2 linked regions of the Pelodiscus sinensis genome follow. The protein of the gene in region 2 purifies or fractionates together with the protein of the main gene of each other region. This does not show direct contact. Links are inferred from orthologs where the notes say so. Each region holds a gene or a part of one and is shown on either strand. Other genes may lie near its edges.

Region 1 (12,332 bases), on a different chromosome or scaffold from region 2:
CCGGGAAGTGGCCTGCCTGGGGGCTGCAGCCTCACGTGGGAAGGGGGCATCTTGGGGGAGGGGAGACCCAGGCCCAGCCCCTCTGTCCTGGCCAGGCCCAGATGCCCCAGTGTCCACCCAGCAGGACACAGACCCCTCTGCCCCCCCCCCCCCAAATCCCAGTGGATTGAGCGTGGGAACCCCCCCTCCCCCCCAGGAGGTGCCATGATGCCTGGGGCTGGATGGTGGATCTGCTGGGGCCTGTCAGCCAGCCAGGAGGGGCCCCTGCTGGAGCAGTAGGGCTGGATCAGTGGGGCTGGAGCAGCTGTGCCTTGGTGTGCTCAGCAGAGGGAGGCGTTAGTTCTGCTGGTGCCTCGCTGCGCCCCCAGAGGCCTTAACGCCCCCCTCCCCGGGTTGTTCCCTGCGTGGGGCCTGCACCCCAGCCCCCTTCCTCGTTTAGTTTCCAGCAGGAGTCGCGCACCCCCCCCCCTTGTTTGCTGTGTCATTGCGAATGGGCAAAGGCCAAAATAAAATGGGCTGAACCTGCTCCCTTATCTCCCTGTTGCAATGGGGGGTTCTGAGCGCCCCTCCCTGTGGCAGCCCCAGGCTGGGGGTTGGCTCTGCCCTCCCCCGCACTGCCTCCTGCACCAGAGCTGGCCTGAGGAGGGGGGCCTGGGCCAGCTTCACCCACATCTCGCTGCCCTCCCCTCCCTCCCAGTCCCCACCTCCCCTGCTGCCTGCCCCACAAGGGGCTGGCCCCCCAGCCTGAGGCTCCTGCACCCGCCCCGGAGAGAAGGGAGCAGGGACCGGTGGGCTGATCAGCTGCCTGATAAGGGGGCCCCTAGCCTAGTGACCTCCCCCCGGTGGCCTATAAGAGGGGCCGGGCGGGCCAGGCATCCTACCATCCCTCCCCGCACCCAGGAGCTCCTGGTCTCATCTGTCCCCAGGTGAGCAGAAGCCCTAACGCCGCTGCTGCCGCGGTTTGCTCTCGCACGGGGAGGGGGCACGTTTACACTAGGCCTTTGCACGAGCGTCAGGTGCCAAAACCCGATGGGGTGGCTCTCTCACTGGGGGGGGGACTGTTATGGGGGGGACTGCTATTACATCATTCTCCCCCCTCAGCGTGCAATTCCCTGGCAGTGGGGGGGGGGGGGGATGCCCTATTTCCTGGGGGGGATGGAAGCTCTATGCTGTGTGGGTCCCTTGGGCTGAATCGAGGGTGGGAATTTGCTCCCTGCCCTCCCCTGGATGCTGATGTTGGTGAGCAGTCGGGAGGGGGGGGGCTCTTTTCCAACTCAGGCAGCCCAGTGCCCTGGGGGAATGGCCCAATTGGTGCCTACCGGCCTCACTGGTTCCTTGGGGGGGGGTGCACCCTGCCACCCGGTTCAGTGCAGCTGCTTCTAACTGCATAGGAAAGGAGGGGCCTGTTTTGCTCCCAGAACCCATCTGTGTTGAGGGACCACCTCCCCGTGCCCAGCTCCGGGGGGGCCCCCTTTGGGCTCCAGAGGCTTGGGGGTTTGTCGGCGCCCTTGCTCCCAACCTGCAGCCACCTGCTCGCGCCAGGCTGGCGTCCCTGCCAGAACGGTCCCAGCTGCTCCGGTCACACTTCCTGTCTGCGGATCTCAGGGTGTGGTAGAGATGGGGAAACTGAGGCACAGAGCCCGGCAGGCCAAGGGCAGAGCTGGGAGCAAGACAGGGACCTCCGGCATCCCAATGCTGTGTCCTGTCCATTAGGCCACGCTGCCCCCCTACCGCTCTGCAGTGACCCCCGTTCCAGTCCCCCTCCTAGCCCAGCCCTGTGCAGCTGGGGCATGGCTGGCCATGCTGCCGTGCTCCAGAGGACAAAGATTGGTCCCCGCCCCCAGCTGTGGCAATAGCAGCAGATCCTGGGTGGCAGGGAGGGGCTCTGAATTCTTGTGTCTGTGACGTGTCCCCTTCAGCAGGGTCTGCGCTGCCCCCCGAAGGACCTGCCCGCCATGCACCCGTCACTTCTCTGTTTCTGCCTACTCCTGCTGGGCCCTGAGCTCGAGGGGCACTTGCTGCTCCCCACAACTCGCCCGGGAGGCGCCGCTGGGACCCTCAAGCCCCCAGGCCTGGCTGTCTCCCCCTTCCCCAGCGGCCAGCGGGCTGGGGCCAGGGCCTTGCTTGGCTCCCTCCCATTGCAGCTTCCCCAGCCGGGGCTCCCAAGGAGGGGTGTCTCCTGCCCCGACTTGCTGCCCGCAGCCCTGGAGGGTTTCTCCGAGCTCCCACCGCTGCCCTGGAGCCTCGCCAGCGCAGCCTTGGCCCTCTCCCTCCAAGGGGCCGGCTGCCCCCACCAGGCCGAGGCGCTGGTGCTGCAGCTCTACGAGGCGGTGGGGACGGACGATGCCAACGCTCTGCTCCTGGGGGTAGCGAGCCTGCCCGGAGCCCCCAAGCAGGGTGGGAGAGGCCGGGCCGCCTTGCTCTTCAATGTGGATCAGCTGGCAGGCGTGGACCCCCAGCGCTGCTCAGGGCTGGCTCGGCTCGACTCCCTGCTGCTGGGCCCGGTGGCCAGCACCCATGCCACCTTCCCCGCCGCCGCCGCCGCCTGCCGCCAGCTGGGGGCTGCCTGTGCCGGCGTGGCGCCCAATGGCACCGCTTTCTCCGTGATCGACCGGCACGGCGCCTACTCCCTGCCGGGCCGCGGGGCCCCAGCCTGGCTTCACCGCTGCAGCCGGGCCGGGAGGAGCCGGCGCGGGACCGTGGCAGCCTGCGGCAACGCACGGGAGCAGAAGGTCCACAGTGTGCTGCAGTGGGTGCCCGTGGTCAGCACGTACTACAACGTGGGCACCAGCATGTACTACGCCTTCCGGAACTGCACCGAGCTGGCCCAGGACCGGGGCCTCGAGGCCGCCATGGATCTGGGCTACGACGCCCTCTTGGGGCTGACGGGCGGGATGGGGAGCCCCATGGCCGTGGGGGCGGCCTTGGGGCTGAGGCCAGCATTCAAAGTGGGCGTGCGGTCTCTGATCAGCTACTTCCGGCAGGTGGCGCCGGCTGAACCCCTGCCCACGAGCTTCTCTGGCCCCTTCAGGGTAGCCACCTCCTTCCCACTGGGAACGCGGCGAGTGTGAATAAACCTGAGCACCCCCCGTGCTTTGATCCTAGTGCCGGTGTCTGTGATGGGGGCAGCTGGGGGGGGGGGCATGGAGGGGAGCTGCCTTATAGCCAGCCCAGCTTCAGGCCTAGCCAATTGCACCCTCCTACATGCAGCGAGGATGCTGGGTCTCAACCCAGTCCTGCTGGCCTGCTGTCTCAGCCACAGCAGGCATTGGGGCTGGAGTCTGGCCTCAGGGGAGGTGGGAAGGCCCTACCCCCACCATGTGCCTGCGAGCTCAGCATGGGCGCCTGTGCATGAAATTGACAAAGGGCTTATGACCTCTCGCCAGGGTTAGCCTGACCCAGACAGCCAGCTGCCAAGTGTCTATAAAGATCAGCAGGGCTCAAAGGTGCTGGCTGAGCAAATTTCCCCCAGTCACGTGGCCTGCCCGGCCCAGCCTCGTCCTGCCTAACGCAGTTTGTTACCAACCGGGAAAGCGTGGGCTAGTGGTCACAGCAGGGTACGAGGCCACCTGGGTTCTGGTCTTGACTTGGGTGCATTTATCAGTCCCCAGCCTTTTGACAAGTGCGTTGAGAGCCGAAGCTACACGGCAGGGGCCCTGGAGAGAGCGCCAGCTCCCTGCCCCTGTGAGCAAACCCTGGCCCCTGCAGTGTGCCCAGGACCAAGGTGCGGCGCCGCGTCGGGGAGCCCCCGACCCTGCACCCCTGTCTGCAGCCGGATGTGAGACTCAGCCAAGCTGCAGAACAGAAGGTTGATTTGCTTCCCAGAGATACAGGGCAGCGCAGGCTCGACATTGACACAGGAGCCAGGGCAGAGCCTCGTCCTCTCGGGGGAAAGGGGTTCACAGGCCCTGGATTTAGTCTGCTTCCTTCATGCTTCCCTCTGCCAAGCCTGCCCAAACCTCCAGCAACTCAGCCCCCCGGCAGCCGCACCCTTTGCTTTGTTTCAGGTTCCACTACCTAGCCCAGGTGTCAGGGTGCTGGGGGACGGGGACACCCACGCAGAGCGTGTACAGCACACCCCACTACTCACACCAGCGCAGTGCCTGGGCTCTGGGGCCAGCTGGCTAGGGTGGAAACATCTGCCCAGCTGCAATGACGGATTATTGGAGAGACCCATCCCCAGGCGGAGGAACCCAGCTGCTCCCCGGAGCCGCGTCACCCTCCCATGAGCAGCGTGGGCTGGGGCCTGGCCCAGAAGGGGGAGGAAGATTAGAGAACCGTGCAGCACCAGCCTGGGCAGAGAGGAGCCCCTGCAGCTCTGCATAGGGCCATGCGGGGCTGGGCCTGGCATCCCCCTTTGGCTGGGCTGCATCCTCGCATGTCCCTGGGGCGGGGGGGGGGACGACACTGCTGGTACTGCAGGAGCTGATTCATTGCCCAAAGACCATGCCTGCCCCTCCTCTGCAGGGCCAGGGAGAGCCCCGGGCAGGGACTACTAACCCCTGGCAGGGTGATGAGAGAAGGGGGATGTCCCTCAGCAGGGGGGCAGTGGAGGGGCTGGAGGCTCTAGGGGTTAGGGCTGGCACTGGGGGGCTCTGGGGACTGGATGCAGGGGGGCAGCGGAGGGGCCGGCACCGACGGGCTCTGGGGACACGATGCAGGGGGGCAGCGGAGGGGTCGGCACTGGGGGGCTCTGGGGACGCGATGCAGGGGGGCAGCGGAGGGGCCGGCACTGGGGGGCTCTGGGGACGGGATGCAGGGGGGCAGCGGAGGGGCCGGCACTGGGGGGGCTCTGGGGACGGGATGCAGGGGGGCAGCGGAGGGGCCAGCACGGGGGGGCTCTGGGGACGGGATGCAGGGGGGCAGCGGAGGGGCCGGCACGGGGGGGCTCTGGGGACGGGATGCAGGGGGGCAGCGGAGGGGCCGGCACCGGGGGGCTCTGGGGACGGGATGCAGGGGGCAGCGGAGGGGCCGGCACGGGGGGGCTCTGGGGACGCGATGCAGGGGGGCAGCGGAGGGGCCGGCACTGGGGGGCTCTGGGGACGCGATGCAGGGGGGCAGCGGAGGGGCCGGCACTGGGGGGCTCTGGGGACGCGATGCAGGGGGGCAGCGGAGGGGCCGGCACTGGGGGGCTCTGGGGACGCGATGCAGGGGGGCAGCGGAGGGGCCGGCACTGGGGGGCTCTGGGGACGCGATGCAGGGGGGCAGCGGAGGGGCTGGAACCGGGGGGCTCTGGGGACGCGATGCAGGGGGGCAGCGGAGGGGCCGGCACTGGGGGGCTCTGGGGACGCGATGCAGGGGGGCAGTGGAGGGGCCGGCACTGGGGGGCTTGGCTTGGGGTGTTGGATTGGCCCCCCCGCTGGGGCCTGGGCTCCCCAGTGGGGAGAGTGGGCGAAGCCGCCCCACTCTGCGGGCCCCGCCCCTCATTCACTCTCTTAGTATAGCTCCGCCCCCTTTCCGAGGCCCCGCCTCTTTCTCCCCTGTTACATCATTTCTGGGAATTCAGTAGGCTGGCTTCGGCCCCGGGCTCCGGTCTTCCGCTTAGCGCCTCCCCTCCCGCCGCCGCTGATGGAGGGAGGCGTGTCCTGCCCCGCCTCTCAGCCAACCGGCGTCGGGCAGGGGCGGGGTCTCCTCCCGGAGGAGGAAGAGCGGGTCGCTGCGCGGTGGGAGGGTCGCGCGGAGGCCGGCACGGCAGGCTTAGAACACCAGCGAGCCGGGCAGCCTCGGAGCCAGGTGAGGGGGGCGGGGCAGGCAATGGGATGGGGGCTACTAGGGGGCTGGGGGCTCTAGTGGTTAGAGCTGGCACTGGGGGCTCTGGGGCTGGGTGCAGGGGGCAGTGGGGGGGCTGGGGGCTCTAGGGGTTAGAGCTGGCACTGGGGGCTCTGGGGCTGGGTGCAGGGGGCAGTGGGGGGGCTGGGGGCTCTAGGGGTTAGAGCTGGCACTGGGGAATCTGGGGCTGGGTTCTCTAGTGGTTAGAGCTGGGGCTGGGTGCAGGGGGCAGTGGAGGGGCTGGGGGCTGTAGTGGTTAGAGCTGGCACTGGGGGCTCTGGGGCTGGGTGCAGGGGGCAGTGGGGGGGCTGGGGGCTCTAGTGGTTAGAGCTGGGGCTGGGTGCAGGGGGCAGTGGGGGGGCTGGGGGCTCTAGTGGTTAGAGCTGGGGCTGGGTGCAGGGGGCAGTGGGGGGGCTGGGGGCTCTAGTGGTTAGAGCTGGGGCTGGGTGCAGGGGGCAGTGGAGAGGCTGGGGGCTCAAGGGGTAAAGGCGGCACTGGGGGGTTCTGGGGACGGGGCTGGGGGCAGTGGAGGGGTGTCCGGGGGCTGCTGTCGCTGCCAGCTGATGAGTTGTTAAGGAGCAGTGTAAGCCCTTTTTACCTCCTCACAGTGCCCCCTTTATGTGGGGGGTGGGGCTGGTACTGGGGGTTCTGGATGGAGTGGGGCTGGTATTGGCGGTTCGGGGCTGGCTGTCATGGTGCCCTGCCCCCTGGGGCAGGAGTCTCCCGACCAGTGTTAGCCCCACCCCTCCCTCCATGAACCCTGTGGAGCAGGGGGCAGGGCTGTCATGGCGGGGGTGCAGCTCTGGGCAGTGGTTGGCACTTGCAGCCCCTTGGCAGGTAAGGCCCGGCCCAGGGAACGTGCTCTGTGGGGCAGACACCGCCCCTCTCTGCATGTGATGCAAGCTGCAGTTGACTTCCTGGCTTCCCCCTGGGGAGCCCGGTCAGGAGTCTGATCACCCGAGCCCCTGGGTGAGGCCAGAAACCGCCTGGCCTGGCCCTTTCTGCCCTCGGGTGCACCGAATCCCTCCTCAGCCTATCCTGAAGGGGTTAGCCCCAACCCCGCCGGAGCCGAGCCAGGAGGGAGGGCTGGGGACATGCAGAGGCGAGGACGTGGGTTGCACTCAGCCGTGGGTGACAGGCTTTGACGGCAGGGCACCTGGTGCCTCACCTGAGCCCTGGTCTAGCCAAGCCCTGGCACGCGCGCCCCCCCCCCCCATCTCCCTTCCCTCGGGGGTTGACAGGAGAGCAAATTGCTTTTGCAGCTGGGAGCAGGACTCGGGCCTGGGTGGGGGGGCATGTTTGGAAATGGCTTCACGCGCTGATGGTGTCAAGTGGCTGGGTGCCAGGGAGGGTGGCGCTGAAGTTCAAAGGCGGAACTAGGGGGTGTTCAATGTGTGGCGCTCAGCTTTGACTGCGCCCCACAGCCCCTGGGCTCCCCTCAGCTCTGCCAGTGCCCCTCGCTCCCAACGCCCAGCCTTGGGCCCCCCCTCGGCTCCCCCTTTTAGCTGAAGGGCCCCGGCTCCTCCCAAGGATTTGTGCAGTTCCTGCCCTTAAAGACCTTCCCCAGAGCGAGCGGCTCTGCAGAGGCCCCCGGAGCCCAGTGAGACGGGGTGAGGGCTTTGCAGGAACCGGAGGGCTCATTTCCTGGCACCCCCAAAGCAGCCCAGCTTTGCCCCCCAGCTTACGGCCCTCGTGCGGGGGCCCTGCGGCTTGGGGCCTGTGGTTTGTGTCTGCGGTTGAGTCTCCTCTCCTAGTTTCACATCCACAGGCTGCTGCTTTGTCCAGCTTGCAGACGCTCCCATGGAGGGATGCAGGCTTGGGGGGGGGGTCCAGCCGCTAGGCCCCTGTGGCCATAGCGGGCGGAGGCTGGAAACTGTCCTAAATGACCTAGGGAGGCATCTGTGCTCTGACAACTGCTGCTACATCTTTCCTCAGCTTTGATTTCCTGGTGGGTTCCCTTTATGCCGGGCTGGACTGGCAGGGGCTGTGGGGCAGGAGTGAGGGGCAGGGGCTGGGGGGGCAGAGGCTGTGGGGCAGGAGTGAGGGGCACTGGCAGGGCTGTGGGGCAGGAGTGAGGGGCACTGGCAAGGCTGTGGGGGCAGGGGCTGTGGGGCAGGAGTGAGGGGCGCTGGCAGGGGCTGTGGGGGGCAGGAGTGAGGGGCACCGGCAGGGCTGTGGGGCAGGAGTGGGGGGCAAGGGCTGTGGGGCAGGAGTGGGGGCACAGGCTGGGGGGGCAGGAGTGAGGGGCACTGGCAGGGCTGGGGGGAAGGAGTGAGGGGCACCGGCAGGGCTGTGGGGGGCAGGAGTGAGGGGCACTGGCAGGGCTGTGGGGGCAGGGGCTGGGGGGGAAGGAGTGAGGGGCACTGGCAGGGCTGGGGGGGCAGGGGCTGTGGGGGCAGGAGTGAGGGGCACTGGCAGGGCTGGGGGGGCAGGGGCTGTGGGGGCAGGAGTGAGGGGCACTGGCAGGGCTGGGGGGCAGGAGTGAGGGGCACTGGCAGGGCTGGGGGGCAGGAGTGAGGGGCACTGGCAGGGTGGGGGGGGCAGGAGTGAGGGGCACCGGCAGGGTGGGGGGGGCAGGAGTGAGGGGCACCGGCAGGGTGGGGGGGGGCAGGAGTGAGGGGCGGGGGCAGGAGTGAGGGGCACTGGCAGGGCTGTGGGGGCAGGGGCTGGGGGGGAAGGAGTGAGGGGCACTGGCAGGGCTGGGGGGGCAGGAGTGAGGGGCACTGGCAGGGCTGGGGGGCAGGAGTGAGGGGCACTGGCAGGGCTGAGGGAGCCAAGGGCTGGATTCTTACCCAAAAGAAAGCCAGTTGCTAGCATGAGCTATGAATGCTGGGGGGGGGCACAGGCAATGGGGGTCCTCCAGTGCCATTCAGCAGCCCCTCTCCACACAGCCTGGGGCAGCTGCCCCGTGTGGAGTGACCCTGCTCTGTGCTGCTGAGGCCCTGGGGGAGCCGGGTTCGAGGCAGCGGCAGCGGCTGTTTCCCTTCCCAGCGGTGGCTGCAGAGCTGGGACCGACCCATCCCCGAACGCAGGCTCCTTGTGCCCCAGGAGGGGGAGGCTGCTGTCCCAGCCCCTGGCCCCCACTCACCTGCTGCCTGGGTTTGCTCCGCAGAGGGGGGCTGGCACGGCCCCCAGCATGGCTCAGTGGCAGGAGGTGCAGCAGCTGGAGAAGGCCTACCTGGATCAGGTGCACCAGCTGTACTCGGACGACCACCTGCCCATGGAGGTGCGGCAGTACCTGGCGCCCTGGCTCGAAGACCAGAACTGGTAACGGCCAGCGAGGGAAGGGTTAATGGGGGGGGCAGAGTCAGCAGCTGGGACCCACGGCAAGCGCTGGGGACGTCTCAGATTGAACCGGGGGTGGTCTGGTGTGGGGGAGGGGAGTGACACCCCCACAGGCAGCCCTGCGGGAAGGGGGAGCAGGAGAAGAGATGCGACCCTCAGGCACCTCTGCTGGCATGCCCCGGGGGTCCCCGCTGGAGGGGGACGGGCAGGAAAGGGACAGTGCAGCCCCAGGGGTCCCCGCTGGAGGGGGACGGCAGGAAAGGGACGGTGCAGCCCCGGGGGTCCCTGCTGGAGGGGGACGGCAGGAAAGGGACGGTGCAGCCCCAGGGGTCCCCGCTGGAGGGGGACGGCAGGAAAGGGACGGTGCAGCCCCAGGGGTCCCTGCTGGAGGGGGAGGGGCAGGAAAGGGACAGTGCAGCCCCAGGGGTCCCCGCTGGAGGGGGAGGGGCAGGAAAGGGACAGTGCAGCCCCAGGGGTCCCTGCTGGAGGGGGAGGGGCAGGAAAGGGACAGTGCAGCCCCGGGGGTCCCCGCTGGAGGGGGACGGCAGGAAAGGGACGGTGCAGCCCCGGGGGTCCCTGCTGGAGGGGGACGGCAGGAAAGGGACGGTGCAGCCCCAGGGGTCCCCGCTGGAGGGGGACGGCAGGAAAGGGACGGTGCAGCCCCAGGGGTCCCTGCTGGAGGGGGAGGGGCAGGAAAGGGACAGTGCAGCCCCAGGGGTCCCCGCTGGAGGGGGACGGCAGGAAAGGGACAGTGCAGCCCCGGGGGTCCCTGCTGGAGGGGGACGGCAGGAAAGGGACAGTGCAGCCCCGGGGGTCCCTGCTGGAGGGGGAGGGGCAGGAAAGGGACGGTGCAGCCCCGGGGGTCCCTGCTGGAGGGGGACGGCAGGAAAGGGACGGTGCAGCCCCCGGGATCCCCGCTGGAGGGGGAGGGGCAGGAAAGGGACAGTGCAGCCCCGGGGGTCCCTGCTGGAGGGGGACGGCAGGAAAGGGACGGTGCAGCCCCGGGGGTCCCCGCTGGAGGGGGATGGGCAGGAAAGGGACAGTGCAGCCCCGGGGGTCCCTGCTGGAGGGGGAGGGGCAGGAAAGGGACAGTGCAGCCCCGGGGGTCCCCGCTGGAGGAGTGGGGTGCAGCCCGGGCTCTCCCGGCAGCGCGGGGCGGTCTGGGGGCGGGGACCCTGCAGTGCGCCCTTGTCTCTGCCCCAGGAGCCAGGCAGCCGAGCTCCCTGTGTCCGAGTCCCACTCCTCCCAGGCCCACATGCTGTTCCACACCCTTCTGGCCATGCTGGACGACCAGTACAGCCGCTTCGGCACCCGCCAGGAGGACTTCGTGCTCAAACACAACCTGCGCAAGTCCAAGCTCAACCTGCAGGTGGGGGCCGGGCTGCTGGGGGGAGAGGAGGTGGGTGGGGTCCAGGGGGGTGGGGCAGGGTGTCTGTGCCCCCCCCCCCCCCCCCCGATCCCAACGCCTCTGGCTTCCTTCCAGGCCAAGTACCAGGAGCGCCCGGAGGAGCTGGCCAACGTCATCGCCAACCTGCTGCTGGAGGAGAAGGCCATTCTGAGCAGGGGCCATGCAGCCCAGCAGGCAAGGCAGGGCAGGGGCCGATCCCTGGGCTCATAGTGCCCCCCCCAGCAGCACAGTGCCTCCCCCACTCCCTGCCAGACCAGAGCCCCCCAGTCTGCCTCCCTCCCTCCCTGAGTAGTGACCCCCTCAGCCTGGCTTCCCGCCGCGCCCCCTAGTGCTGTATTGGGGAGAGCCCCCTTTCCTGGGTAGCCGGCCCACCCCCCTGGCTCCGGCTGGGGGGCTCAGGGGCCCGTCTCTTGTGCGTCCCCTGCAGGCGACAGCTCCGCCACCGTCCAGCGCCCCCATGGAGACAGACCGGCAGCAGAAGATTTCAGGGCGCCTGGCGGAGACCCGGGCAGCGGTGCAGGTGGGTATGGCCTGGAGCTCGCCCGGTGCCCTCCCCAGACCACCCCACGCTGGCAGGAGAGGGACAGGGGAGCCTGGGCTGCACCCCTCTCCTCCAGCGGGGATACCTGGGGCTGCACTGCCTCCCCTCCTCCCTCTGGGCGCTGGTTCCCCTGCATCCCTTCCCCACTGGGCCTTAGGTGCAAATGCCTCAGTTTCCCGGTGTGTAGGGAGCCTGGGGCCCTGCCCCCAGCCCATCCTGAACATGTGGCCAGATGGCTCCGACCCCGGACCCAGCCCCAGCGTGCACCCCAGGCTCTCCTTCCCCCATAGCCGGTTCCCTTTGCCCCCTGCCAGGAGCTGGATCGCACCGTGCGGCACCTGGAGGAGCTGCAGGACACCTTCGATTTCCGCTATAAGGTTCACCGCATGGCGGGTGAGGAGCCCGGCTGGCTGGCGGAGGGAGGGTGAAGTGGGGGGGGGGGATGGGGCAGCAGAGGGGGCTGAGCAACCCTGGGGGTAGGCGTAGTCGGGGAGGGGGGGGTCTTCTGCTTGCTCCCCCCAACATGCTCCACGTGCAGGCGGGTTTCCCGAGGGAGGGCAGAGCCGCCAGGAGGGCGCGGGGTGTGGGGGGACAAGGAGACCCCTCCCCAGAGCCGCCGCCGCCCTCCCTACCTAATGTGGTGCTAGGGGGCTAAGGCCTCCTGTGGCGGGGAGGGGGCTCAGCCGGGGACACTTCCCCCTTGCAGTCAGCGCTGCCCCCCCCCCCGTATCCCAGCAAGCTGTTAGGGGGCTGGGGAGGGGGCCCTGTGTGGCAGGGGTTTGGTGGGGGGCTGTGCGGTACATGGCTGGGAAGAGGTTTGGAGGGGGCGCGGTGCTGCACCGGGGGGGGTCTGTAGGGGGCGCGGTGCTGCACCCGGGGGGGGGGGGGTCTGTAGGGGGCGCGGTGCTGCACCCGGGGGGGGGGGGTCTGTAGGGGGCGCGGTGCTGCACCCGGGGGGGGGTCTGTAGGGGGCGCGGTGCTGCACCCGGGGGGGGGGGGTCTGTAGGGGGTGCGGTGCTGCACCCGGGGGGGGGGGGTCTGTAGGGGGCGCGGTGCTGCACCGGGGGGGGGGTTTGGAGGGGGCGCGGTGCTGCAAGGGGCTGGATGGGTGGGGGGCCCTCCCCAGCTGTGGGGCTAGGGGGCAGGTTCTGTTCCTGCCCCTCCCCCCCACCCCCCACCTGCGAGCTGCCGCTGTCTCTCCAGCAGAGGGGGCTCCCGCCAGCCCCGAGCTGGCCCGCCAGATGGGACAACTGCAAGTCCTGCTGAACAACCTGGATCGGAGCCGCAAGGTGACTCCGGGGGTCCCTGGTGCCGCTGCATCGAGGGGGC
Region 2 (11,453 bases):
CAGCCCGCATAGAGCACACAGCTACACATGGAGGAGCGCCACTGCCATGGTAAGAGCGGCACATCCCTCAGCTGGTCCTGCAGGACAGGTAACAGATTGGGCTGCACGGGGTTTGGCCAGGCAGACTCCCACGGTGTGCAAGCAGCCAGCACCCACGCTCCCCTTCCTAGGCAGCAGGTTGGGCTGTGCAGGGCTCGGTGGTGGTGGGAGGCAAAGCAGCTGGGACTGAGGATCCTGCACACACAGGAGGCAGGTGAGGGCTTGGGGCCCTTTTGGGCTTTGCACCCATGGGGACTTGCTCTGGGATGCCATGAACTGGACCCCTGCGGGACCCCACCCCCTGCAGGCCTGGACACCTCGGGGACACCTACCTGCCCACCCCTGCTTTGCTGTGCCCAGCCTCCTTGCCCCTCCATTTCCCTTGACACCCCCGAGCCACCTTGACCTCCCCAAACACCCTCCTGAGCCACCTTTACCCCAGCCCTCTTCCCAGGGGCACCTGGGCCGCCCCCATCTCCCTGAACCCCCTCAGCCACTCTGCTCCTCAGGTTTAGCCCCAGGCACTTCCTGCCCCCATCTCTCTGTCCAACCAGACATCCTACCCCCCAGTCCACTTCTGCACCCTCCCTCCCAGCCAGATTCTGCACACTCTCTCCTGACCAGACACCTTACTCCTAGCCTGCTTCTGCACCCCACCTCGCTCCCAGATCCTGCACCCCATCCATATCCCATTTGCTGGCCGCTCTGTCCCACACACTGAACCCCTCATTTTTATCCCCACCCTATAGCCTGAGGGGATCCATAAAAATCTACTAATTCCAGAACCCCAGTAAAGTAAATCTGGCCTATGGAATGCCAAAGGAGTGTGGTGTCTGAGTTGGGGGCCACATCAGTGAGAATTATGGGTTCTGGAGGAGTTTTTGATTCTCACTTGCGCAGTCCTCAACTGATTTTTCTGTGGGTCAGTGGCCCCTGACACAAAAGGTTCCCTACCCCACCATGAATAAAGAAAACATTGAAATCTTTTGTGTCAGCCATAAATTAATATTTTACTTTATTTAAAATGAAGTTTGGAAAACTAACATGAGAAAGGTAAAGTGCTTAATCTATTTAATCATTTAAATTAAACCAGTCTCCCTAACTGCAGCACTAGCAAAATGGCCTGTGCATACTTCTGTAATTAACAGTGAGTTTCCATTAGCAACTGATGGTCCATGGAAAGGTTGACATTGAGCCACGGGCCAAAAAGTCTGAGAGCCACCAGCTTAGAGGGAACACTGGCGGGGACCGTCCTTCTCCTTCTCAGTCAGTGTGGGGTTGTTTGTTTTTTTACTTGTATGTGGCCCTCACAACTGATTTTTTTTATGGGTCAGCGCCCACCCACCCACCCAAAAAAGGCTCCCCACCCCTGGGTTAGGGTGTACAGTTACTATAGATGCTTGTAGAAGCATTTGATTTTTGTTTAAGGTAAAATTTACCAATTTCCACCATGCCATTGTTTCTCCCCTTCTGTAACATTTTCCCTCAACAGTTTTCTTATTTCCAAAAACAAATTTCCTTGTACACCTTCCTGTATTATTGAATGACCAATTGCTGACTTATTTTCTAAGCCTGTGTACAGGCCAATGCTAGGGACATATTTACTTGTATAGATCCCATAGTTCCTGCTAACAGTAACACACCCTTTTCCCTCTGCTGTTGCCATACTGGCAATATTCCCATTCTTGATTTTGATAAGGATGCACTGACAGGCTTTCCCAACTCTTGTATTTCAGCTGTAACAATTTAGTACGTTTGTTTGTCAATACCTCTATGTTAGTGGCATCCAGTACTCCAACTTCTAATCCAGTTCCACCCAAAGCAGTTTACAATACACCCTTTGGGTTTCTTTTTCTTATGGGGTTGTCAATATACCATAATTTTAGCTATGCTGCCCATCCCTTATGGAATGTTTGTACATATGGGGCGCATTGAGGTATGACCTTGGACACATTTAACCCAGTAAGATCCAGTGGGGGGAGCATGCAAAGTCTCTTGACCCCTGCCTCCACCCTGCTAGGGGCATACAGTAGCTAGATAGAAACGCCAGCTGTTTAAGAACCGGCATTTCTCTTTAGCCGCTGTGCACCCTTGGCAGGGGGAGAAGACTTCATCCGTTCCCTCGTCCTCAGGTCTTGATTGGCCTGGGAACAGGGGAGCAGCAAGATGGCCATGGGCCAGGTCCACCAGCGTGGTGGGCCAGATCCAGCCAGTAGGCTCCTTTGCCCACCCCTGGGCTGGACTCTTTGGACTCAGATAGATAGCTACTTCAAATGACTCATCAAGCTCAGAACATTCAGACATGGGGATAAACGTGTAGTTGACTACACAATTTACCGATCAGCCTGGGCTTATCAGTTAATCTTGTTGACTACATGCATCTCGCACCCTTTTGCTGCCTCTTTATTAGAGGCAGCAAGGAGGGGAGCAGGAGCCAGTGCCCATGAGAAGCTAGCTTTAAGCAGGCACCCCCGAGCACCAGGTCTGCCTGTCCCTCCACATCTGTGCTACTGCCTCCGATAGAGAGGCAGTAGTGTGGAGGGTAAGAGAGGCAGGCTGGAACTGATACACATGGGAACCCAGCTTTCAAGCAGGTTCCCCTCACATGCTGGCTCTGGAGACCCGCCTACCCCTTCCGCTGCCTCCTACAGAGGCAGTGAAGAGGGGGAGGCAGGAGCCAGTGCTGGGAGAAGCCATCTTAAAAGCTGGTTTCCCACAGCATCAGCTCCATCATGCTGCCAGCCCTTCCCCATGCTGCATGAAGTTGAGCAGAATACAATCAGAGTTTAGCTGGAAATTGAAGCTAGACAAATCCATAGTGGAAATTAGGGATAGTAAAATGTGTGTATTCAAGGAAACACGTAACTGCTGAACATTTCAGTGGTTACATGGTTGCACACAGGGGAGAGACTGCTCCCCAGAAGTCAGTGCACATGGGGAGCCAGTTTTTAAGATGGCTCCCCGCCAGTACTAGCTTCCACATACCTCCCACCCCACACCTCCCACCCCACACTGTATCAGAGGCAGGAGTGTGGGGGAGGGGACAGGTGGCTCCCCAGGAGCTGGTGGAGCTGTGAACAGCTCCTGCCTGCCCTCACTGCACCACTGCTTCTGATACCAAGACAGGGCTGCATGTAACCATGCATGTTAACCAATGAGTCCAGGCTCATTGATTAACCATGTACACGGTTAGGCTTTCACATCCCTACTGGAAATAAAATATACATTTTTAACAGTGAGAGTAATTAACCACTGTAACAATTTACCATTGTAGTGGATTCTCCATCAGTGACAAAGTTTTAAATCAAGATTGGATGTTTTCTCTAAAAGACATCCTTTAGGAATTATTGCGGGGAAGTTCTATGGCCTGGGTTGTACAAGGTATAGGACTGAATAATCACAATAGTCCCTTTGAGCCATGGACTCTATGAATCAGTATAGAGTTTAATTTCCAAATCACAATGATTTACTGGTCTCAATAGCTTTCAGTTTGAGATTCAAAGGGATAATTTCGACCAGTCTTTTTGTTAGCAACTTGACAATTTCTATATGGTATGCTTATTTATATACAAAACTGGTTAGCAATATCCATCTAAATAAATCTACCTACATTTTAAAGGGAAATTTAGTCTTCCCATATGTCTCCTCAATATTTCACAAACATTGCACTAAATGTTAACTAAATTTACATCGACCCAGAGAATCATATTCATCCAAAATACCAGTGATCCGATATTCACATTTTGTCTTCATTATTCATACAAGGAAATCTCATAATTTCTATAGTACCTTTTACCTTCTTATATACAGGAAATCCTACTTCTGCTTCATAAGAGCTGGAGAAATAGTTCAGCAAAAGGGTTTTTTCCCCCTAGTATCCTTGGCTTATGTCTATTCCCCACAAAAAGATTCTTCTCTGGGATCAATGGGCTCTCAGGTTTGCTAGAGCAAAAATGTTTGTAACTCAAGTAAAACTTCATTAAGTCTACACTGCAACACTATTTTGGGATACCAATCCCGCATCTTAACAGCAAGCCTGTTATTTCAAGCTCACTATTCCAACATCCCTGTAAGCCTCATTCCACGAGGACTAAGGGATGTTTTGGAATAGAGGGTCATTTCAAAATTTGGTGCTGTGTAGACAGCACCAAATTATGAAAAAAGCTATTTCGAAATAAGATGCTCAATTTGTGTGTCATAAAATGACACACACTTATTTCAAGCTGAAGATGCACCCTATAAAATTGTACTTTTATAATGGTCACAGTTATATGGGAATCTGATTTTTTTTTTACTAATTACAAAGTAATGTTTTTTATAGAGAGAGAGAGAGAGAGAGAGAGATCTTTATAATTCTGTGCCCCCTGAAAAGCTTTAACAAATCCACTTGAAACTTTGTATTTACACCGTGGTTTTGTTTTGTTTTTTTGAATGTAGTTACATTAGTGGGGAGCGGGTGGAACCTGCTGGACTGCTGGTCCCTGGAGCAGCTGATGTTTTCTGGTGGAGGAGTGCAAACTTTGCAGGCTCCCCCGGCCAGCCTGCCTCCACTCTGACTGGGAGAGAACACTTAAAGCGCTGAAAGGTAAATAGGTTTCCATCTCCTCGAAGACCTTGGTCTTTCTTCTGAGTCTGCAACCCAGTAACGCCAACCTGCGCTGACCTGCGCTGGACTAGAGCGAGCAGCCGAGAGAGGGGTGAGGGTTTCCTGCCGTGGAAGCCGCGCGCTTCTCCAGAAATTGCCGTACCCTCAAAAGTCCAGCCCTGCACAAGGGATTCCCACACGAGCTCTGAGGGGCAAGGGGGATACTCACTGCAGCGTCGGTGAGAAAAGCGAGCTCGGGGCACTGCTTTCGGGTTCTCCTCGGTGCCCGCAGCCGGCAACAGCTCCGCTCTCGACGCGGGTTTCCCCTGCTCTGCCGGCGCTGCGCTCTCCCCGCGCGGCCTCAGAGGGCAGCATTCCCCGCAGCCTCTCGTTCGGTTTTGATTTCCCGCTGTACACGCTGGGAGGATAGAAAGTGAAACTCAAAGCGGCTGCTCCTCCCTTCGCCACCCGGCCGCTCAAACAAGGTGCCGGGAGCCAGGGCTGGCCTCTAGAGGAGCAATGGCCCCGCTCTCACCGCCGCACTCCCTTGCGTAGGAATCCCACCACAGGCGTGGCGCGAAGAAGGAAAGGGGCACAGAAAAGGAGACTTTTCAACTACTCTTGGGGCACTGGCATAGGAGTCATTGATCACCGAAAATGCTTTGAAATGCAGTCAGAGTTTTAAAAAAAAACCCCACCACGCTATCGGAGTGACCCACCCATAACCTGGAGTAAAATACAGGACTATGTAGCACTTTAAAGACTAACAAGATGGTTTATTAGATGATGAGCTTTCGTGGGCCAGACCCACTTCCTCAGATCAAATAGTGGAAGAAAATTGTCACAACCATATATACCAAAGGATACATATATATATGGTTGAGACAATTTTCTTCCACTATTTGATCTGAGGAAGTGGGTCTGGCCCAGGAAAGCTCATCACCTAATAAACCATCTTGTTAGTCTTTAAAGTGCTACATAGTCCTGCATTTTGTTTCAGCTACACCAGACTCACACGGCTACATTTCTATAACCTGGAGTGACAGGGTTATGACATTTCATCCTCTCAGGCAACGCTATGTGAAGGGGACGGGATACCATTTGAGGTGGCTGGGAGAGGAATCATTTTGGATGGCAAGGTATCCGTTTTAAAGGTGGCAGTTTCAAGAAAGGTAGGGCTGAAAGTTATATGTTCCAGAAAAATGGATTACGGGGTGGAGGATGTTGTCAAAGTATATGATAAGTTTCCCTGACCTTTTCTGTCAGAAAAGGTGCTTACTTAGCAAAGGGATGATCACTGTACTGCTCAGAGGAGATCATTTCAGTCTCCTCTGCCCACTATTTTGAGGGGTGGGAGTGTCTCCATCCGCTGATGTTTATGTCTGAATTCTTCAAACTGACTTCTGCTTTTAAGACATGCTTTCTTCATCAGCTTTGTTTGGCACACTAGCCATGAGCCACATGTGGCTATTTTCCCAGTTGAGGGTGGCTAGTTGGCTTGAACAATATGGCTATTTGGCCAGGTGAGTGTGGCTAGATCGCTATAGCAGTAGCCACTCTGGCCTATACACAGGAATTTCTGGGGCGGGGAGTGGTGGGCTTTTATTGTAAATGTAGACTGCAGGTTTTTTTAAATATAAAGGAGTTCAAAATAATCATTAAATGAGGGTGCATAAGAGAGGTTAATGAAAAATTTGAGTGGAAACACTGGTAAAAATGATCTTATTACATACTAAAAAATTATACAGTTATAAAGGTTTTATAAATTACAAATCATTATCATTATAATTTATTATTTCGGCCAAAACATTTGATTGTGAGAAGCGATCGATTATAAATCGACATTTTAACACGTGAGGGGACTGTGAAGGAAGCGTTGTGATTGTAACCCACTGCCCAGCTGGGAGGGGAGCATTATCAATCACACACCTCTAGTGGAGGTGGGAAGACAACCAGAAAAAGATATGCATGCTTCTTTTTCTTTAGCCTCCATCTCCTACCTCAGTCTCTGAATTTTTTCAGTGAGGACCAAATGTGCAGAACCAAAGCAAATAAAATTGCCTGAGAATTTAAAAAGTATTTGAAGCAGAGAAGCCACCAAGCCAGGGATGAAGTCAGACCTGAGAGGCTGTGGACCACATGACACTCCCTCACCCACAGCCCAAGGAAAGACCAGGCCAACCTGCCTCCATCTCAGGCCCTGTCTCTCCCTGCCTTTGCTCCACCTGACTCCACCCTTACTCTGCCCTCTTCCCTGTCTTTGCTCTGCCCCCATACTGCCTCTTCCCTTCCCCTGAGTGATGTGGCCTGGAGGACTAGCAGGGTCGGGAATCCAGCCCCCTGTATTCACCAGCAGCAGTGGGAAAAGCAGAGCAAAGTGGCCTCAGCTCGCTGTGCCCCCCGGCTTCATTGCTCCACTTCCTGATGGTGAAGGCATGGGCAACACAGCTGGAAGAGTGAAGCAAGCTGGGGCCACATTGCTTTGCTTTCCCTGCCACTGCTGGTGAGTGTTGGGAGGCTGGACCTCCACTGCAGGTTCCAGGCCCCTCACTAGTCCCCCTGGATGCCAGGGACTCTGGCCCCACCCAGCCCTTTGCCCTTCTCACCTACTGTGTTTGAGGCATGCGTCCCCTCGTGCCCCCCTATGCATTGTCCCTGCATCACACTGACTATTGTAAGAACTCAAAGCTTAAGTCACACTGTCTAGTTCAAGTTCAGCTATAGAAACCCTGGTTCAGGTTGACGACTTTGGCAGGAGGTTTCTGTGATTTACTATGGCATAATCCAAACTAATCATCAACTTTTTGTTACCCCTCCCCTACAGCCTTGGATGCCTTACAATGCTTTGCAAAAGGAGCTCCTCTCTGGGCTGCTCACAAACAGCCTTCCAGCACTCAAGCCAAATCTTGATTGTGTAACTGCAGCCTGCCAACCACAATTTGGTTACACCCTGGGTTTCATCAGCCGTGGTTATACAGCAGTGTAACCCCAACACAATCCCAGTCCCTGATTTCCCCCCTAGAAATGCATGTCCTGTACTTTCCATCCTCTCCTGGCAGTGCAAAATATTTTGTTTGTTATTCCTTGAAGGGAATAATTTGCCATTTTATTATCTCAAATAGTTATTCAGAAGACACTTAAATTTGAACACAGATTAAATAAAACAACTTTAACTATAAAGAGAATTTTATGTGAGTAAAAGAAATGATCCATAAAAGTAAAAAATGGTTACAAGAAAAATAAAATGTTTACTAATACCTAACTTAAATAGACATGCATCTGATGAAGTGGGTCTTTGCCCACAAAAGCTTATGCTCCAATAAATCTGTTAGTCTATACGGTGCCACAGGATTTCTCATCATTTTAACTTAAACTATATGGCTGTGTCTACATTGGCATGATTTTGCGCCAAAGCAGCCGCTTTTGTGCAAAAACATGCTGCCTGTCTACAGTGGCAGGGAGTTCTTGCACAAGAACACTGACGTTCTAATGTGTGAAATCAGTGCTTCTTGCGCAAGAACTATGATGCTTCTGCTCAGGAATAAGCCCTCTTCCACAACTGTTCTTGCGCAAGAGGCCAGTGTAGACAGGCAACATGAAGTTCTTGCACAAGAAAGCCCAATGGCTAAAATGGCCATTGGAGCTTTCTTGCGCAAGAGAGTGTCTACACTAGCACAGATGCTCTTGCACAAAAGCACATCTCTTGCGCAAAGGCACATGCCAGTGTAGGCGCTCTCTTGCACAAATACTTTAACGCAAGAACTCTTGCGTTAAAGAGTATTTGCGCAAGATTATGCCAATGTAGACATAGCCTATGAGATTCAGGCAAAGTTTCTCATCAAATGCTTTCAGCAGTCTTATTGACCAAACCCTGTAACTCAGGAATCCCTTCCCCAAAGTCCAGTGCAAGATTTCCTTGTGTTTCAGGTGCAAAGAATGTGATGGGCAGAGAGAGGGACAGAGGGGGTTGTCTTGTGGTGTTTGTCTCTCCTTTTTATAGCTTATCCCTCTCTTGAAAAATCATTTCTTACTGGACTTTAAAAGTCAACGAGTCTAAGTATTTTCCTGCTGGTTTTATCTAACCTATTTGAGGTTTGTTTGTTTCCTTTACTACCTAATAACTTTGTGTACTTCTTAAATGCAAATTAAGCAGAGCACACATTCCTTTGTTTAGGACAGGCCTTTTTGCCATCTTCTATTTTATTTGGACAGGCTGGTGGGGTTTGGAAGTGTGTTAACACCATAATGAGGCCATCTTATAATATCATATGAGAGAATTGGATTTTTTGCTTGTTTTGTACTTTGGGGAAAATAATCTTAAATTGCTTTCCTTAAACATGTACAGAAGATATACTTGATGTATATATTAATTACAAATAATGGGCAATGAGGTTTTCCTTTAATTAGGGAACCTCTTGTTATATCCTAGAGGTAGGAAAATGAACGGTCTAGTAGTAGATTATGCAGAGCACATATGTAAGAAGAGACACAGATTTCTTTCCTGGGAAAAATTTCCTTAGTGGCATTGGCCAAGTAAGTTATGAACAATTTCCAATGCTAGTATATGTGCAAATCCTCCAGGTACTTCAGTGAAGGCATAGGAAGGAAGGAGGTATCTATGGGATTTTCAAAGGCAACACTGCAGTTCTCCATTGCTGCCATCACTTTTGCTGCCTCCATCAAAGTGAGCCAGCTCTACCCCCTCTGACAGAGCTGTATAGAATCCTTCTCCTGTTGCAAAATTCTGTTAGCAGGGTTTCAGTTGCCTAGCAGCCAACTCCCTTCAGTGGACGCAGCAGCAGTGATAATGGAGAACCTCCTGGGAACTTCCAGTTTAAACTGGCTTCAAACTAGGTTTGATGGGAGCAGGTGACCAAAGCCCACAGGTATGTGAAAAACATGGAGATCTGGGAGATGGGAGGGAGCATGGGTTATAATATGTGACAAAGCTCCTACGAAAACTCAGTGGGTCCTGCACTTTCTGGTGGATTTTGCTTGCCTCAAAGGGTACGTCGATGGAGCCATGTAGATTTGTTTGTTTGGCAAAGGGAAATGAAGCTGCGATTTAAATAATCACGGCTTCATTTAAAATTTACATGGCTGCCGCGCTGAGCCGACAAACAGCTGATCAGCTGTTTGTCGGCTCAGTGTGCTAGTCTGGACGCTCCCCCATCGACATGAAAGCCTTTTATTGACTTCCCCGGTAAACCTCATCCTACGAGGCATAACCGGGAGGTCGATAAAGGGCTTTCAGGTCGGCGCGGGAGCGTCCAGACTAGCGCTCTGAGCCGACAAACAGCTGATCAGCTGTTTGTCGGCTCAGCGCAGCAGCCATGTAAATTTGAATGAAGCCGCAATTATTTAAATCGCGGCTTCATTTCCCTTTGCTGATCAGCCTAATCTACATGGCTCCATCGATGGAGCCATGTAGGTTAGACACACCCAAAAGCTCACAGCAGCCTACAGTTTTAGGCACCATGCCCAAGGGCATTAGTTTGCTGTTTGCTGAGCTCTTTTCATCATTGGCAAGCATATAGTAAAATGGAGAATCAACTCCACATTCCTTTTTCCCAAGTGGAAATGGGGAGGTGAGTGTTGGGGGGAAACTTGGGCCCACCCTCTATTCCCAGTTCCAGCCTAGGGCCCTGTAACAGCAGCTGCCTGTGTGAATTCCCAACACCTGCTATAAGACAGCCCCAAAGATCCCTGAGCTACTTCCCCAGCACCTTCTTTCTCTCTGGTTCATCCTCCTAGTAGTCAGTTGTTGTCTCCTTTTCTCCTTCTTCCAGTGGTACCCTCCTCCAGCCTCTCAGCTACACATCTAGGAAGGAGCATGGCGGAAAGAGATCTAGGGGTCATAGTGGACCACAAGTTGAATATGAGTCAACAGTGTGATGCTGTTGCAAAAAAAGCAAATATGATTCTAGGTTGTATCAACAGGTGTGTTGTAAGCAAAACTCTTGAAGTCATTCTGCCACTCTACTCTGCGCTAGTTAGGCCTCAGCTGGAGTACTGTGTCCAGTTCTGGGCGCCACATTTCAAGAAAGATGTGGAGAAATTGGAAAGGGTACAGAGAAGAGCGACAAGAATGATTAAAGGTTTAGAGAACATGACCTATGAAGCCAGGCTTCATGAACTGGGCTTGTTTAGTTTGGAAAAAAGAAGATTAAGGGGGGACATGATAGCGGTTTTCAAATATCTAAAAGGGTGTCACAAGGAGGAAGGAGAAAATTTGTTCCTCTTGGTTTCTGAGGACAGGACAAGGAGTAATGGGCTTAAAGTGCAGCAGGGGAAGTTTAGATTGGACATTAGGAAAAAATTCCTAACTGTCAGGGTGGTCAAATATTGGAATAAATTGCCAAGGGAGGTGGTGGAATCTCCCTCTCTGGAGATATTTAAGAACAGGTTGGATAGACATCTGTCAGGGATGGTATAGACAGAGCTTGGTCCTGCCTTGGGGGGGAAGGGGCTGGACTCGATGACCTCTCGAGGTCCCTTCCAGTCCTATGATTCTATGATCTGCCCCAAATGCGGGCAAAGCTTCTTTTATAGCCATTCTGAACTGGTTTTCTTAATTACCCCCAGGTGTCCTAATTACCCCCAGGTTTGGGGGGAGGCCTAAGCTGGTCTGACTCTGCAGGCCTGGTCAACTAGTTCCACTGCCCTCATTGCCTCTGCTGGTTCTAAACCAGCCCTTCCCTGTTACTCTGGAAACAGAGATCACCTCAGTCTGAGGCTTATATATCTCCCCTCCACTATTTTTTTATAGCCTTCTGTTCTGACCCTGTCACAAATACCAGAGATAAAGGAGGGACAAGGCAGAACTAGG

Evidence for each region.
Region 1: the proteins of USP18 (region 2) and STAT2 purify together in Homo sapiens (affinity purification with western blotting; 6 studies listed by BioGRID and IntAct, with this or other methods). This does not show direct contact. The link is inferred for Pelodiscus sinensis from reciprocal best matches to the Homo sapiens genes USP18 and STAT2.

The regions. Positions count from the first base shown.
Region 1 is NC_134729.1:3,802,869-3,815,200, forward strand, and holds the start of STAT2 (signal transducer and activator of transcription 2), read left to right. Parts: upstream 1-6,394; 5' UTR 6,395-6,522; coding exon 6,523-6,606; intron 6,607-8,881; coding exon 8,882-9,036; intron 9,037-10,257; coding exon 10,258-10,423; intron 10,424-10,537; coding exon 10,538-10,636; intron 10,637-10,889; coding exon 10,890-10,982; intron 10,983-11,317; coding exon 11,318-11,396; intron 11,397-12,206; coding exon 12,207-12,292; intron 12,293-12,332. Other genes in the region: APOF (apolipoprotein F), read left to right, coding at 1,956-3,071. UniProt on the Homo sapiens protein: Signal transducer and activator of transcription that mediates signaling by type I interferons (IFN-alpha and IFN-beta).
Region 2 is NC_134711.1:110,690,933-110,702,385, reverse strand, and holds the start of USP18 (ubl carboxyl-terminal hydrolase 18), read right to left. Parts: upstream 4,931-11,453; 5' UTR 4,854-4,930; intron 1-4,853. UniProt on the Homo sapiens protein: Interferon-induced ISG15-specific protease that plays a crucial role for maintaining a proper balance of ISG15-conjugated proteins in cells. Regulates protein ISGylation by efficiently cleaving ISG15 conjugates linked via isopeptide bonds.